2 separate regions of the Mus musculus genome follow, and region 1 is reported to be linked to region 2. The links are microRNA targets in miRTarBase. Many come from high-throughput screens and were not tested one by one. Region 2 holds a microRNA gene; the other region holds the end of a gene's coding sequence.
Evidence for each region. Region 2 holds the annotated microRNA mmu-miR-3089-5p (UGAGUUCAGGGACAGCGUGUCU, at 5,425-5,446, shown strand). A microRNA usually pairs through its seed, bases 2 to 8, with sites in the 3' UTR of a target mRNA and lowers its output. Matches are read on the target gene's strand: a 7mer-m8 pairs with bases 2 to 8, a 7mer-A1 pairs with bases 2 to 7 and ends in A, and an 8mer does both.

Region 1 (7,619 bases), not on the chromosome of region 2:
ACACAGTCACAGACATCTGCAGAAACACAGTGAACACACATACAGCAGGCACATACCCATAAAGATAATAATTGTAAGAGTATAGCTGAAAATGTAATATTTTTGAAGTGCTTTTCTTGTGCCATTTGGAAAGACCACATTGAGGATGATAAGTTTGGGCTTCTGGAAATACGGACGTATACAAACTGGGTGTAAAGTGGCCAGCATTTTGCCAGTAACAGAGACAAATGAAATACCCATACAGATTAGGGTTTTTTTTTTTCCCGTTGATGGTAACAGTACTTTTGAACTGGGTAGAACTTTTGTTTTGTTGTTTTTACAACAGACATAGGACACTGTAAAGGAGTAGATATTAGTCTAGAGGTTTTGAGATGGTTTTCAGAGGCTGAAACAGACCCTGGCTGCTACCATTCTATCAGTCCTGCCATGGATGTAAAGTAGTTTAATGAATGAACATGGCACAGCTGAGAGCCTTCAACATCTATCCAAGTCTCTCCTGGGAAATTAAGACTGGCTGAGCACAGAGCCTAATCCCAACAGTATGCCACAAATTCTGACAACCTGTGAGCTCCCAAGCAGATCCCACTGACCAAACTTATTTCTGAATGGCCGAATGTCAAGGGTAGTAAAATGGCTGCCAGTGCTTCTTTCACATTCTTAAAAGGAGCACTCATTCAAGGGGTCTGGAGTGAATGAGTGAGTGAGTGGACTGGGGGTTTGCTATCGTCAGCATTTAGAGTAACCAGAGCAAAACTCATTAACAGGCATGCTGATTAATCCCGTATCACATTTATGTGGCACAAAGCAGTTTTATTTACTTTTTAATTATTTATTTCCATTTTATGTGTATTGGCGTTTTGCATGCATGCATGCATGTCTGTGTGAAGGCATCAGATCTTGGAGTTAAAGACGGTTACAAGCTGCCATGTGGGTGCTGGGTTTTGAACCTGGGTCCTCTGGAAGAACAGTCAGTACCCTCAACTGCTGAGCCATCTTTCTAGCCCCAAAGTTTTATATAGTTAAGAAACAAACAGAACTGTTGCAGGGATGGAGAGATGGCTCGGAGGTTAAGAGGACAGACTGCTCTTCCAGAGGACAAGAGTTGTACTCCCAACACCCACACGGAGGCTCTCCATGGTATCTGATGCCCTTTCTAGGATTTGCAGGCAACAGGCAAGCATGCATTGCACATGCATACATTATGCAGGCAAAGCATGCATAAAATAAAAAATAAGCTGATATGGTGGCCGTGTCTTTAAATCCCAGTGCTCCAGGAGGTAGAGACAGACAGATCTTGGACCATTTTTGGACCTAGAACACACACTCCCCACCCAAGAAAATGGTGCTAAGGTTAACTTCAAGAAACCAGGACACTGCTGGTCTTCCTATGGGGTCACCCACAACCTCAACTTCTTCCAGCCTTTCCCTAATTCAACCACAGGGGTCTCTGACTTCAGTCCATTGGTTCGGTGTCAGTATCCATGTCTGTCTCAATCAGCTGCTTGTTGGGACTCTTGGAGGGCAGCCATGCTAGGCTTTTGTCTGTATGTATACTATAGCATCAGTAATAGTGTCAGACCTTGAGGTGGATCCCAATTTGGGCTGGTCACTGGATCTCTTTCACTGAGCCACCAACCAGGCAGCATACACTAACTGGTCCAAGGCCTTCAACACATATACAGCAGAGGACTGCCTGGTCTGGCCTCAGTGAGAAGATGCACCTAACCCTTCAGAGACCTGAGGCCCCAGGGAGTGGGGAGGGAGGCTTTGGTGGGATGGGGGTGGGGCCATCCAATTGGAGACAGGAATGGAGGAATGAGATGAGGAACTGTTGGAGGGCAGAACAGGGAGAGGATAACGACTGGACTGTAAAAAAAGATTAAAGATAAAAAAATTGTATGAAAAGGTCTATTTTCAATAAAAAAATAAAACAAAAACCAAAACCAAACCAAACCAAACCAAAACCAACCAGGACCCCAGAGGAGGTAAAGATGCCGGGCCTGGGGAAAAGTGCAAGTGGCAAAGAGCTTGCTGTGGAAGCTCGAGCAAGCGGGGTTCACACCTCCTGCACCCATGTGTAGCCGGAACCCCAGTGGGTCTAGGATTTTCTAGCCAGCCAGTCTAACTGACCAATTAAGTGAGAGACTCAACACATTAATGTGGAGAAGTTGGGGAAGACACCTGATGTTGTCCTCTGGCCTCCATATAAAGCACACTGCCTCCCCGACCCACCACAGATGCACACAAAGAACTAGCACTGAGAAAGGATTTGATCATGAAAGGAATATTTTCTTCATCCTCACAAGGCGTTTATGCACCCCTTCCAGAAGCAGAAATTCTAGTGCTAGAATTGAAGAGTAAAAAAAAAAAAACTTAAAAAGAAAAACAAACAAACAAACACCTTTAAGAGACTTGTATCAGTAATGCAGGCTTATCCACCAGTACCTGGGGCATGGCCAGCAAGTATCTACTGCTTTGGATACAGTTATCTTAACCACAAAGGCTTGAAAGCTTCATTAACTTGAACAGACGGAGTCTAGCCTGTTGCTGGTCCTTAAGGCTCTGGTTAAGTATCAGATGCAAGCCCTCCCCGCCTTGCCTGAGCTAAAGAAGGCAGGCAGCTGGGAAGCAGCGGCCCAAGCTAAGTTTAGGGACGAACTTCCACTGCATACGTATTTGTACAGACTCTCTTGAATATCAAACTTTGTAAAAAGCCACTTCACCTAATCTTCACAACAACCCGGGAAATAATCAGGTTTGGGTCTGGGAGGTATCTCTCTTTACCAGCTAGGGCATGCACCCAAGGCCACTGAACTGTTTCAGCAACTAGTCTGTATATCAGGCAATAAAGCAACTTAGAACAACAGAATTGCTAAGATGCAAGTGCCTTGGACTCATTCAACTTGGAACATTCTAATCTGCTTTAGAAACTTTAAAACATTTTTAGTGTTTCCCCTGCCTGTATGTCTTTGTACCACATGCATGCCTGGTACCTGCAGAGATCAGAAGGTATCAGATCTCCCTAAAACTAGAGTTACATGTATGTGGGTGCTGGGAACGCAACCCTGTCCCTCTACAAGAGCAACAAGTACTCTTAACTGCAGCCTTCTCTCCAGTCCCTACATTAGAAACATCTTGTCTGAGTACTTCAAGCTGGTTTTGGCGGCACATGCCTATAATCGTAGCCTTTCAGAGGTAGAGTAAGACATGAAGATTCATGGTCAGCCTCAGCTCCATACAAAGTTTGGTGTCAATTTGGGCTACATGAAACTTTCAACACCCCCATTATCCCACTATTTTTAAAGATCCTAGTATCTTAGAGGAAGCAGGTCTTATATACTAAGTTCCAGGGGTTGTATCTGGGGGGAGGGGACTCCCCCTTCTCCGAGAAGGGAAGTGGGGATGGGAGAAGAGTTATGTGAAGGGGGAACTGGAGGGAGAGGTGGGGCTTTGATCAGGATGTAAAGTGAATAAATAGAAAAACAAAGTGCTTACTGCTCTTACAGTGGACGCAGGTTTAGTTCTTAGCACCCATGTCTGGTGGCTCACAATTACCTGTGAGCCACAAGGAATCTGGTGCCCTTCTGGACTCTATAGGCATTTGCACTCAATGTGCACACACCCACATAGAGATACACTTAACTAAAAATAAATATTTAAAACTTAACTTCAAAATAGTGAAATAAGTTTAGGGTTGGTTCAACAGACAAAATACACTTAGAGAGCATAAAAATTGTTTATTCAACCTATTTCAGCCAGTATTGAGTTTTCTATATTAAAAACAAGGAATTAGAAAAAAAAATACAGCAAAATTAGCAAGGCAGTGACTAATGAAGCCACTTAATTATATATTCTTCAACCATTTGGTAAGTAATGAACATTTTCAGCCAACTTAGATGGAGTTAACTTCTACAATAGAATTTTACTAATCACTGAATTCTAATTTTTTTAAAAAAAGGTTTAAATGTGACATTTCTAGGACAAAAAGAAAGGAAGGAAGGAAGGAAGGAAGGAAGGAAGGAAGGAAGGAAGGAAGGAAGAAAAAGAAAGAAAATCGGAGAACAGCATACTCACAAATCCTCAAGTCTGTGCTGGCTCTGTCCTCGAGGGCCCTACCCTTGGTTACTGCCCTGTCCTAGATGGGACGACCACCTTTAGGAGCTACTGAGGCCGAAAGTACCTGTCTTTTCTCAACCAAATCCTAGAAAGTGTCTAGGTGTGACTTGCATTTTAGAGATGAACGTAACTGTGGCTGAATAGCCACCTGGCCAAGGTTATACACTACAGCTACTAAAACTTGATGGGAGCTCAACGTAACCTATTCAGCTTTCAGTCTGCCCATGTCTTTTGATTTGTGGTTCCAGGGAGGCCTGTCATGTGGTGTTCAAATGCAGCAGGGCTAGTGTTCACTCTGGACTGCAGACAAGTGTGGCTCCCTCCCCATAGCTCTATAAACCTCTGCCTTCACGGGCCTTGATGCCAATAGATCGATCCAAGCAGCTCCCCACCCCCCACCACCACCCCGGAAATTAAAGTAGTACACAGGGAGCTGAGGGCTTGTGGCTGTGTAAAAGCTGCTCAACTTAACAGGAGTATCCAGGAAATGTCAGAATATATATATTTTCACACTGGCAATGATGGAAGCCAATTTCATAATTACAGCTGTAGATCTTAGTTATTTTTATATATAATCAGGGTTCACATTTTCTCTACAGAATAACAGCAGTGTTAAGGTTAACTCAGTCAAATTGCCCCTTATACCCTAGATAATTACAACTCTGGATGTTCAAAAGAGTCATTCCCACAGACACCGTAAAACTCAAAACTGAGATAACCAACCTAGAGAAAGATACCAGTCTTTACTAAAATATTTATTTACAATCTAACACAGCTCAATCTATATTTGTTACACTTCTAAAGAGAAGTATCCATTTCGCAGAAAGGGGGAGCATTATCATGCATCATATACTGTGAACAGCATTATTTTTTAAACTTTAAAAATTTTCATTCTAGGGGCTGGTGAGATGGCTCAGCGGGTAAGAGCACCCGACTGTTCTTCCGAAGGTCCGGAGTTCAAATCCCAGCAACCACATGGTGGCTCACAACCACCCATAATGAGATCTGACTCCCTCTTCTGGAGTGTCTGAAGACAGCTACAGTGTACTTACATATAATAAATAAATAAATCTTTAAAAAAAATTTTTCATTCTAATCAGATTGCTGAACATTGTAATGGTCACTATTAAACATGACCTAAATAATTGCTTTTGAACAATGAATATAAAACTAGTTAAACAATGACTAGTAAGGAGATCGCCCCCTTAATATGACAACTAAAATCTAAAAGGAGGGCTGGTGATGTAGTGTATACCTAGCATGTGTAAGGCCCTAGGTTCAATCCACAGCATTAAGTTAGAAAAGCAGGTGTTGTGGTGCTCACCTGTAGTTAGGAGGCTCAGGGATCAGGAGCTCAAGGCCACCTTCAGATACACAGGAAGTCTGAGGTTAGCTATGCTAGAGACCCTGATTCAAAAACAAGATACCCTAAAAACAGTATTGGCTATCCTATAAACAGATAAAGTGGAAACCAATGACCCTGATCAATACTCCATAATTACCTCACTGATATTCAAGAGCTCCCTTGGGTTCAATCAGTGCTTGTTCTATTAGACTGCAGACTCTCTGAACAAGTTCCCCAACTCTATCCCATAGCACCTGCACAGTGACTAGGTAAGTGGGAGCCAGTTAACAAATATCTGAATAACGGAATCAACAGAAACCCAATAATTTTATTATCATTTTTTGCAAGTTGTTCTCTGCTTAACCTATGAATCAGTAGTTCTAATTTGTAGAAATACAAATTTAAAAACATACTAAGTGATAAAAGGGCCTTCCACCTCATTTCCCTATCACTATCCTCTGCTTCCCTCCCTCCTACCTTCTTTCTGAAGTCCCCTTCCCCGCTCACACACACACCCTCACACCACACACACAGGACGACTACGAGTCAAAAGTACACTATGAACTATGAGATGTCAACATTGCATAAATAAAGTTTAATAGTGAAAAAGTGCTTTGGAAGCCCTGGAAACTGACCCTTCACATCTGAGATGTCACATGGGTTTAGGAAAAGAAAACAAAATCTCTTTTGTTCAGATAATCACTTCAATGCTGACATACATTTCTGGGTTTGTTATTTATTCAGAACTAGTTTACACTTCCTCCTGTTAACAGAGGCTCCTTTGTAGCATACAATCAATTACACCAATGAGAAAAGCCCTCACAGTTCCTTCATCGAGTTGCTATTCCTAAGAAAACACTGAACTGAGTATATACAAAAGAGGCGTCAGAATAAAACATGTCCACTTTTAATGTTTGTACAGTTTTATCTTTACATTCTTGTCTGGAAAAATATGAACAAACTCAGGTTTCCCATGCTAAAATAATGGTTTAGCCGACTGCCATAAAAGTAGAACATACAAATGACAGAGCTGACGCGTGTCCTTAGGTCCGTGATTACTGGGCGGCTTGCCCCGGCCCTGCGTGCTTTATTGTATCTCTTAGAATATAGGAGCAGCGTCACAAGTCTCCACTAGCGCATTAATGATGGAATCAGAACACAACAGACTCGTCAGGATGAGAGGCCTCAGAACAACCAGAAGTCAGTTTTATGCTTCTTCTTGCTCTGGATAATTTAGGATTTTGCGGTGTGCCTGACGTAAATATTGCTGCTGTTTGAAGTAAACCTTAAATGCTCCTTTTATGGCAACAAAAGCAATTCCACCCTAAAATAAAAAGGGAAATTAATGTTTTTATAATGCAGGATCAGATAAACAAGAAAAAGAACTTTACACCTATCACAAAAGACAGGATTTGAAGCCAAGTAAATGCTGATAATTACAAGTGAAACATTCTCTTCTGTGAGGGCAGAAGTTGGGAAAGAGCAGGCTTCAAGTAGCAAAGGAAGAGGCCCTGTTCCTACATCACTTGTGTAGCTTTCTTCCCATGGAGTTCTTACACACTGAGAGAGAGGAGAATGCCAGGCACTATGTGGGCTGCAACCAAGGAGGGCAAACAGGATGACAGGAAACAGTATGAGCCAGTTTCATCTCAGTTGTTTATTTATGATGCTGGTACTGGGGACTGAACCCAGAGCGCAGTCCAGAAGAGAAGGTACCCACAGGGAGGGTCCAGGAGGCAGCTGGCACAGGACCTGCTTTCTTTTTTTAATTTCTCTCAAGCTATGCTGACAGTGGGGGTTGATGGAGGGAGCAGACAGAGCCCCTACATAACATCTCTCCCTTTAAACACAAATAGTTAGCTCTCATCTGTATACTACTTGAAACAAGTAACATTAAATCCATCTTACCAAGATTGTCCTTTGTAAATTTGAGTTAACACTACTGAACATCAGTTTACCAACTATTGTCGCAATAGTAGGAAAGACAAGGGCTCCACACAAAATTCTGGTAGCAGAGACGTGGTCTGCTAAAGGGTTAGCTTCAGCTGGAATTCGAGGAACAGGACAACCAATCCCTAGAGGGGAAAAGCATTATGTTAGAACTAAATCTTAAATCTTAGGAATAGCTTAAAAAAAAAGCTTTAGATATATTTTTTTA
Region 2 (7,619 bases):
AACTTCTCAGTTGGATTTGGGGAACTCGTCTGAGTGGAGATGACATTCTTCAACCACGTGGTTAACTTGACTGATAAGCTGAGAACACAGGCAGGTGGACCAAAGCCCTTGTGTCCATTCTGACATGACAGCCAAGTGCTGGCGTTGTCCTCACAACCCAGGAAGCACCCAGGGCTCAATGAGTTGTGACAGATGAAGAGCCTGGTGGACAGCGACCCTTTGAAGCCACACTGCTATGCTAAGGAGGTGGCAGGATCTGCACTTGGCCCACCCTGAAGCTGGGTGTTCTAACCACCAGGCTTCCCTGCCTTGTCTCCTTGGCAGTGAAGCAGGGTGCACTTCATAGAGAAGCCTGGGAGAATGATTGGAGGTAGGTGCTAGCTGCAGGTCAGGCCATCAGAGGAACTGTCTGAAGGTCACAAATCACAGCACCCCCAGCCCCATGTTAACTGGGAAGAATCTCAAATGATCACCCACCCTTCTGGCCAGTCCTATACAAAGCAAAGCTTCCACTAGAGAGGTTGAGACATTTGCCCAAAGACCCACAGCAAGATATTGCCCCCTCGGTCTGTAGCTAGAAGGAGGGAGGTGGACCACCTGGGTTCTGATCTGGGTCTGTGACTCGCCTTTTGTGTCAAAGAACCTTTGTGCGTAGTGTCCTTGTCCTGGAGAATGGAAACATGAGGTCCCTTTATAAAGGGGGCTGTGCGGGAGGCAGTGCTGATGAAGACTAGAGAGCCCAGGGGCCTGCTGAGATCCAGAGATCCCCTCCAGCACCCAGTGGTCCTCCATGATGCTGGGCATTCTGCTGAGACCCAGAGGAGCAGCTGCAAGCTTGGCTGCCGGGCAGCTTTCCTGCTGCACACTGGCCACGGGGGGAAGCTAGCTGGCCACCGGATACTCCGCAGATAACCAGCTCCTGCTGTGTGATTTCTGCTGGGCTGGGAGTGGGGGTGGGGATCAGGGACGCCCCACCCCCAGGAGGTGAGGGGCAGAAAACAGGACTCCAAGCCAAGCAAGTGGAGAGTGCAAAGACCCAGCGCAGAAAGGAACAGAATGTGCCCTACCTAATCAGAGCTGGGGCCAATGGCTGGAGCCCAGAGCCACAGGGGGATGAGACAAAAAGGTGGCATCCAGGGGAAGCTGGCCATCAGTGGGGCACGTTGTGGCAGGGAACTCAACATGGAAGCCAGTTCTGTTGCTGAAGGAAGCAGCAGCCTGGTCTGAGTTCCAGGAAGATTTGCATGGCTGGCTTTAGGGAGGGATACCAGGTGGGCAGGGAATGTGGGAGAGGAGCTCTGGGAGGGGGCAGAGAGGGGTAGGTGCGCACAGCACAGGCCGAAGCAGTGGGAACGGGAACTTTGGGAAGAGTCCGCAATGGCTTAGGGGTGGCGATCTAGCTAGAGTGGGTGTGGCCAGAAGCAAAGGGCAGAAGGAAATTCCAAGAGAGCAGCCCCTGGCTCCAGCGAAGACCACCCCAGCTGCACTTGCAGCCCAGGGCGCTTGGCAGGACCTCTCCACTTAAGACTGGTGGTTCAGAGACCAGCGTGGTCGGAGCCCCGGAGCTCGGGTCTCAGAGGCCCCGAGGGTTGTCTAAACTGCCTCGTGGGCACTCTCAGCACTCAGGTGACCAGCAGATGGCTGTCTGTAGGGGCGTGGCCCCAGCTGACTCTCAGCCTGCAGTGCCCACTCGGTCCTGAGTGTGCACAGCCCGCGGAGGACAAGCAGAGGTGGTAGATAGAGCTGAGGATCCTGGGAGGAAGCTAGCCACCGTGTGCTCCCTTCTGGGCACCAGAAAAACCCGGGAGCTAGAAATACAAACCCAGCCTTGGAGGCCTGTATCTTTCCTAAGGAAGGTGGATTTGTCAGGGTGGAGGGAAGGGATTTGATTTAGCTGCTTGCTAGCCTGATTTATAATTTGTAAACACTCAGGCAGGCCTGTGGGTCTCTGCATATTTCCAAAGTCCAGAGAAGCAGCCTTCTGGACCAGTAGCTGACTAACCCTTTGCTATGCTTCAGTCCTTCCCAGTAGTCCTTTCTTTGTGCTTGCCCCAGGGGTCCTCTGCCATTGGGGGTTCAGTCCCAGCTTATATTCCTGGAGACCACAAGGCTCTCCTCTGTCACTGGTCAACTACAGGGGGTTTGCTGGGGTCTGAGCAGCTGGGCACAATTCCACCTCTACTGCGGGAAGCAACACTTCCCTGAAGAGCAGAAGAAGCCTGTAAGAAAGGCAGCCCTGAGATGGCGGGGTAACCTTGAGCCGTTTGCTCTCCCGAAACCCCATCTTCCCAATGGTACCACTTGTGCTCACTCAGGCGCACCGTGGGACGCAGAGCCCACGTGTGCCCCGCATTTGTCAAGCACATGGCAGGGATTAGGAAGGGCGTGAGTTACATCATTCACTTCTTTTTACAGCTGAGAAAAACAAACCGAGGCTCAGCGAGGTGCAGCAGTCTGTCCAAGGTCACACAGCCCAGAACAGGACAGGGATGTCCCAGTTACACAGCACCCATGGGACTATGCGGCCGTAGGACTGCACCTCCTTCACCTATTCCCCGGTCCTCTCAACTCTCAGGCTCTGCAGGCTACGTGGGGGACACAGAGGTGGGTGGTGTGGGCAGAGCGCAGCTTGCTGGGAGGAACGGGTTAATGCGCTCCGCCGCATTGGGCCGGCCTCCAGGAGAGCCAGCCAATGGGCATGCTTGGTGATGAGGTAATGCCAGGACGCGCAGAGTGGGTGGGGCTTGAGTGGACCCCTCTGCTCCTTCTGACTTTCTGCTCTCCTTAGCAACCCCTCACCTTTGACCTTGATATCCCGGCTCTTCTTCCAACCTTGAGGGACTGGGATCATCAGCCCCCTGCAGCACTGAGCCTCACGCACTGCTGCAGATGTTCAGATGCATCCTAGCCTGAATAACACCCCCTGGACCTCAGTTTCCCTAGATGTAATTTCTTAATTGTCAAAGTCCCTCCCAGTGGGGTACCTGCATGGATCCCCAGAGCAGCAGGCAGCCTTGCCTTGCCTTTGACCTCTGCCCCGTCGCAATGGTTCCCAGAATCCGGGGCCAAGGAGTCACTAGGCCAGTCACACCCTTCACGTGGTCCCGACCCTTGGGTGCCTCTCCTGACTGATCCCACTGACCCCTTCCTCCTAAGCTAGGAACTAGCTAGCCACACAACAGCCGCAGCAGCAGCAGGCTCGCAGCGGTAGTTAGATGACAAAGTTCACCAAACCACTCGGCCTAGCAGAGCTGGGTTAGTTAAACGTCTACTACGGGCCCAGAGCTCCGGCTCCGTGTGGCCTGGTGCCCTACAACCCTCCTGTTGTCGCTATATGCTGAACGCCACCCGGGCACGAAGCAGTTAACGCCCTTGCAGCGAGCTGGCAGAGCCGGCTGCCCGGCTTATTAGTCAGCCGGCGGGGAGGGGGCGGAGGGAAGGAGGGAGGAGGGAGGGAGGGGTTCAGTGGAGAGCCGCAGAAAGCTATTCTCAGGGGCTCCCGTGTGTGGGGAGGGCGGCTCAGCGGGAACTGCCGCTTCCCAGAAAGTTGATTATTTTTAACCCAGGAAGAAGAAAGGAAGGAGGCCCAGGGAGGACTCAGAGAAGACGAGGAAAAGAGAGGAGAGGAGAGAAAAAGAGGAGAGGAGAGGCGAGAACAAGGAGAGGAGAGGAGAGAGAGGAGAGGAGAGGAGAGGAGAGGAGAGGAGAGGAGAGGAGAGGAGAGGAGAGGAGAGGAGAGGAGAGGAGAGGAGAGGAGAGGAGAGGGATAGATATTTGGAGGGAAAGGACAGGCAGGGCAGGGAGGAAGGAAGATGAGGCTTAGATATCCCACAGCAAGGGTTGGGGAACGCTCTGGGCCAATTCTGGAGGAGGAATAGATGTGGGGTACCCACCCCTGCTGGACCTACCATCCTCCTGTCCTTGTGGACTGGCCTAGTTGCATGGGGGCTTGAGGGAGGAACTGGGCACAAGGCAGTTCCAGCTCCTGGGAGTGCTCTCAGGTCAGTGGGCAGCACAATGGCACAGCCTTGTTCTGGCCTTCACGGTGACTCCTGGGAGTCTGCATGGAGGCCCTGGGAAAGAGGACAAAGAGGTTGCCTTGGTGCTTGGGCCGAGAGGGATTCACTTACGGGGGGGGGGGGGGGGGGGGTGTGGGCCCAAGTCACTTCTCCTACCTCTAGGTGGTGTCAGGCTGGGAAGGCACCTCAGAAGCAGGAGCTGGGTTCACAGAGTGAGACAAGCCAGAGACAGCTGGCCCACAGGGCTCGCAGGCGTGGCGAGCCATAAAAAATGCATTGGGTGCCCCCAAGAAGGCTGAAATATCAGGGACTTAGGCAGACTGGCTGTGTGTGTGATCTCAGCAGGGGTCAGAAGTGTCCTAGAGAAGGGTGCATGAGGATCTACTGGGATGACTAACTCAACTAATGCGAAGCCAGGGAAGACAGGACTGGCAGTCTTCAGGCCTCAGATCCAAGTGGTCTATCAATTCCTGCCTCTGGAAGGTTTGGCAGGCTTTTATGGAGCAGAGAGAACAGGTCTCCAAAGCTCCCAGAGGCTAGGAACTGGGGGCTGAACTCAAGCTTGGTTTGTGCCATGGTGGAAGACCAGCCTAGTGCAGATGCGGGAGGAATCAGAAAGCTGTCTGGGCTGGCTATGTGACAGGGAGGGCTGGTGCTGTTCAGGAGGCAGGGGACAACTCACAGGAGCAGGCTGGCAGCTTCGCATATTTGAGGGTCTGGTAGAGATGGCTCAGAGCGCCAGGTGAAAGGAAGACCCAGTGGGGAGGGCTGAGGGAGCTGCAGTGGCATTGCAGAATATGCTAGAATCCTGGTGGACCGGCTGATCCCGGTGGGTCTGCAGTATAGGCAGGGGAATCAGGTTTGTTATGGTAATGGTGCAGAGGGAGAGAGGAGGGTTCTGTTCCTATAATTGAGTACTGGGAGACACAGCAGACAAGACAGTGTGTGGCCAGCAGGGCTGAGCCTCGGGCAGGCCAGGCCGATGCCTGGAGCCTGGGAAGGTCCTGGGGACAGATCAAGAGGCCTCGGGTGTGATGTAAGGGCAGGTATGCATGTTTCTTGCTCTGAGGGCCTTGTCTCTAATTGAGAAGGATTGAGAGGGACCCAGCTACCCCTACCCAGTCACTCTGGAGCCCTGACCAGCTTCAGGCCTTTCCCCAGCAGTAGGTTGGGACTGCTCATTACCTCCACAGGATGTAGAAGGTGCCCACCCACCAAGTCACTCCCCACCCGGCCCCCAACCCCAACTGCTGGCAAGAGGAGAGCAGAGTTGAGCACACAGTAGGTCCTTTCCATGAGCCTAAGCTAGTGGGTAGAGTTAGAGCTACAGACTGGGCTGAGAGCAGAGCCCCTGCCCAGATGCCCTGGAACAGGGAGATAAGGGGAACAGCTGGTGGCTTGCAACTGAGTTCAGGGACAGCGTGTCTCAGTTTCTCTGTCTGAGCATCTGCTGATCCTGAGCTGTGTTTTTAGCTGCAGAAACCCAGGGCCTTGAGGCTCCACCCCTACACTCTGAGCACCACTGCTGCCAACGCCAAGGGGGTCTCGGGAATGGCAACTGAGAGGAGGGGGAAGGTTCTAGGACACATATGGAATCCAAAGTGCTCATCTTCCAGCTCTGAAGGGCCTGCCACGGCTAATAACAGTCTTCCAGCCAGGCAGTGATGGCACACACCTTTAATCCCAGCACTCAAGAGGCAGAGGCAGGAGGGTCTCTATGAGTTCAAGGTCAGCCTGGTTTACAGAGTTAGTTCCAAGACAGCCAGGGCTGCACAGAGAAACCCTGTCCTGGCGGGGGAGGGTGGGCTTCCCATCAAAGCTATGCTGGCCCTGCCCTCTCACCTCCTCCCAAGGGTGAGAAGAATAAGGCCCAGATCTAAAGGACAGACCTGAAGCCACCCCACGGCTGACTGTGTTCTCTGAGCCCCCACCCCTAACCCTATCTACAAAGTGCCTGGCTCCTTGGAAGCAGAGGAGGGTAGGTGTCAGGCTGTCATTCCGTGACCCAAGGCTCCCCATCAGTATGACAAGGGTGTAGGCTAGAGCCCTCTAAAGTGGACAAGACCCAGACTTCCCAGCATCCACTCTGAGAAGCCTAGCTCAGAAGAGTTGGCCAGGGCCCCAGAGCTGCACCTCCTGCTCTGTCCCCATCAGGCATCTCTGAGCTGTGAGGAGCTGTCCCCTCAACAGTGCCTGTGGAACACAAAGAGGGGGGGAGCCCAAGCAGAGAAAGAGCCGCGGGCTGCAGGCGGGCAGGCAGGCTCAGAGCGGCTCTGCTCCGCTTTCTTCTTCCTCCCTCTCTCTTTGTTAAGCTCCTTTTCAGCTGCACAGGCAGAGCCTGGGTGTTCCGAGCTGACAATAATTGCTGCGTCTAGACAGTGTCTGGTAGGAGGCCTCCTTCTCTGTGCCTGCCGGCCTCCCCGAGGCTCCCAGGCCTGGCCCACAGCCCCTGCCCGGCACCCTCAGAGGGTTCCCACACCCCTGCCTCTCTGTGGATGCCATGCCCACCCCCCACCCCCCAGTCTTTCTGCCTCCTAATTCAGTTGGGAGTACAGCTCTGTCCTCCTACCCTTGGGTCCAAAGGCACCCCAGTCTGTTCTATTTTGTGGCCTAAAGTTCAGAAACAAGACACTGTCCAAGAAGCACTGGTAATGCCAGAGGCCTCTGAAGGAGCCAGAGCTCAGCGTAAGGCAGGTGGCTGTGCTGCATAGGCCAGGGAAGCTGCCTTGCTGGGTGAGCTAAGCCTGGACCCTCAGGGTTCAATTCTAAAATTTGATCTAGGTTCTTCTAGAGTTTTCCAACCCAAAGCCCAACAAAAAGACACAGGAATCAGTGTAAGGAAGACCAAGCATTTCCCAGACCACTTTAGGCTGATGGGGATCCGTGTTTTCAGGAGGCTGGGGAAGGAGAACAAGAAACAAACATTAGGAGTTCTGAGATCTGTGCTCAACTCAGCCCTGAAGCTCTGGAAAATTCCCCAGAGTCTCCTAGAGGGTGTTGGGGCAGGCACTCAGGGTGCCACAGACAGCAACAATAACAACCAGAATCTGCTCAGCCCTGGCCCGCTCTGAGCGCAGAGCAGAGCCGACTCTGCTTGCATCTTAATGTGCTTAACCCCCTCTAGGAGAGGGCCCTGGGAGACAAGGGGAGCTGGAAAAATCCAAACGAGCCTCTGATTAAGACCTTTTTTTGTTTTTATTTTTATTTTGTCTTTTGTGAGTGAGGGGGTGGTACGTACCTGTTCGTGTGGGGGTTTGCATGTAGGAGGGTCCGTGTGCACAGATGCAAGCCTGTGGAAGCCAGAGACAGAGGTCAGAGTCTTCCTCTATCACGCTCAGCGTGTGTTTGAGAAAGGGCCTCTCATTCAACCCAGAGCTCACTAATTCAGCTAGGCTGGCCAGCAAGCTCCCGGGATCTGCTTGTCTGCCTCCCCAGCCCCAGGGGTAATAGATACCACTGCAGCTGGCTTTTAAGTGGGTGTTGGGAATCAAACTCAGATCTTCATCCTTTCATGGCCGGCACAACTGAGCCATCATCGCCCCACCCCCTTTTTAGCCAATGCCATTTTATAGGTCAGGAAATAGAGCAGAGAGGAGCTTG

Region 1: miRTarBase lists Marchf5 as a target of mmu-miR-3089-5p. Seed matches in the 3' UTR shown: 7mer-m8 at 5,070-5,076.

Annotation. Positions count from the first base shown.
Region 1 is chr19:37,220,556-37,228,174 of GRCm38, reverse strand. It overlaps Marchf5 (membrane associated ring-CH-type finger 5), which reads right to left. Exons shown (of 6, transcript NM_027314.3): 5 at 7,370-7,536; 6 at 3,718-6,785. The coding sequence ends at 6,669. Among named protein-coding and RNA genes, the nearest start is that of Gm25268, 9.1 kb to the left of the region's middle.
Region 2 is chr2:30,715,798-30,723,416 of GRCm38, forward strand. It overlaps Mir3089 (microRNA 3089), which reads left to right and starts at 5,413; the gene lies at 5,413-5,496. Gm14488 (a long non-coding RNA gene) reads right to left here and starts at 5,390. Exons shown (of 4, transcript XR_866106.3): 1 at 4,176-5,390; 2 at 3,909-4,073. It overlaps Gm39782 (a long non-coding RNA gene), which reads right to left. Exons shown (of 3, transcript XR_866107.2): 2 at 7,258-7,309; 3 at 5,766-6,916.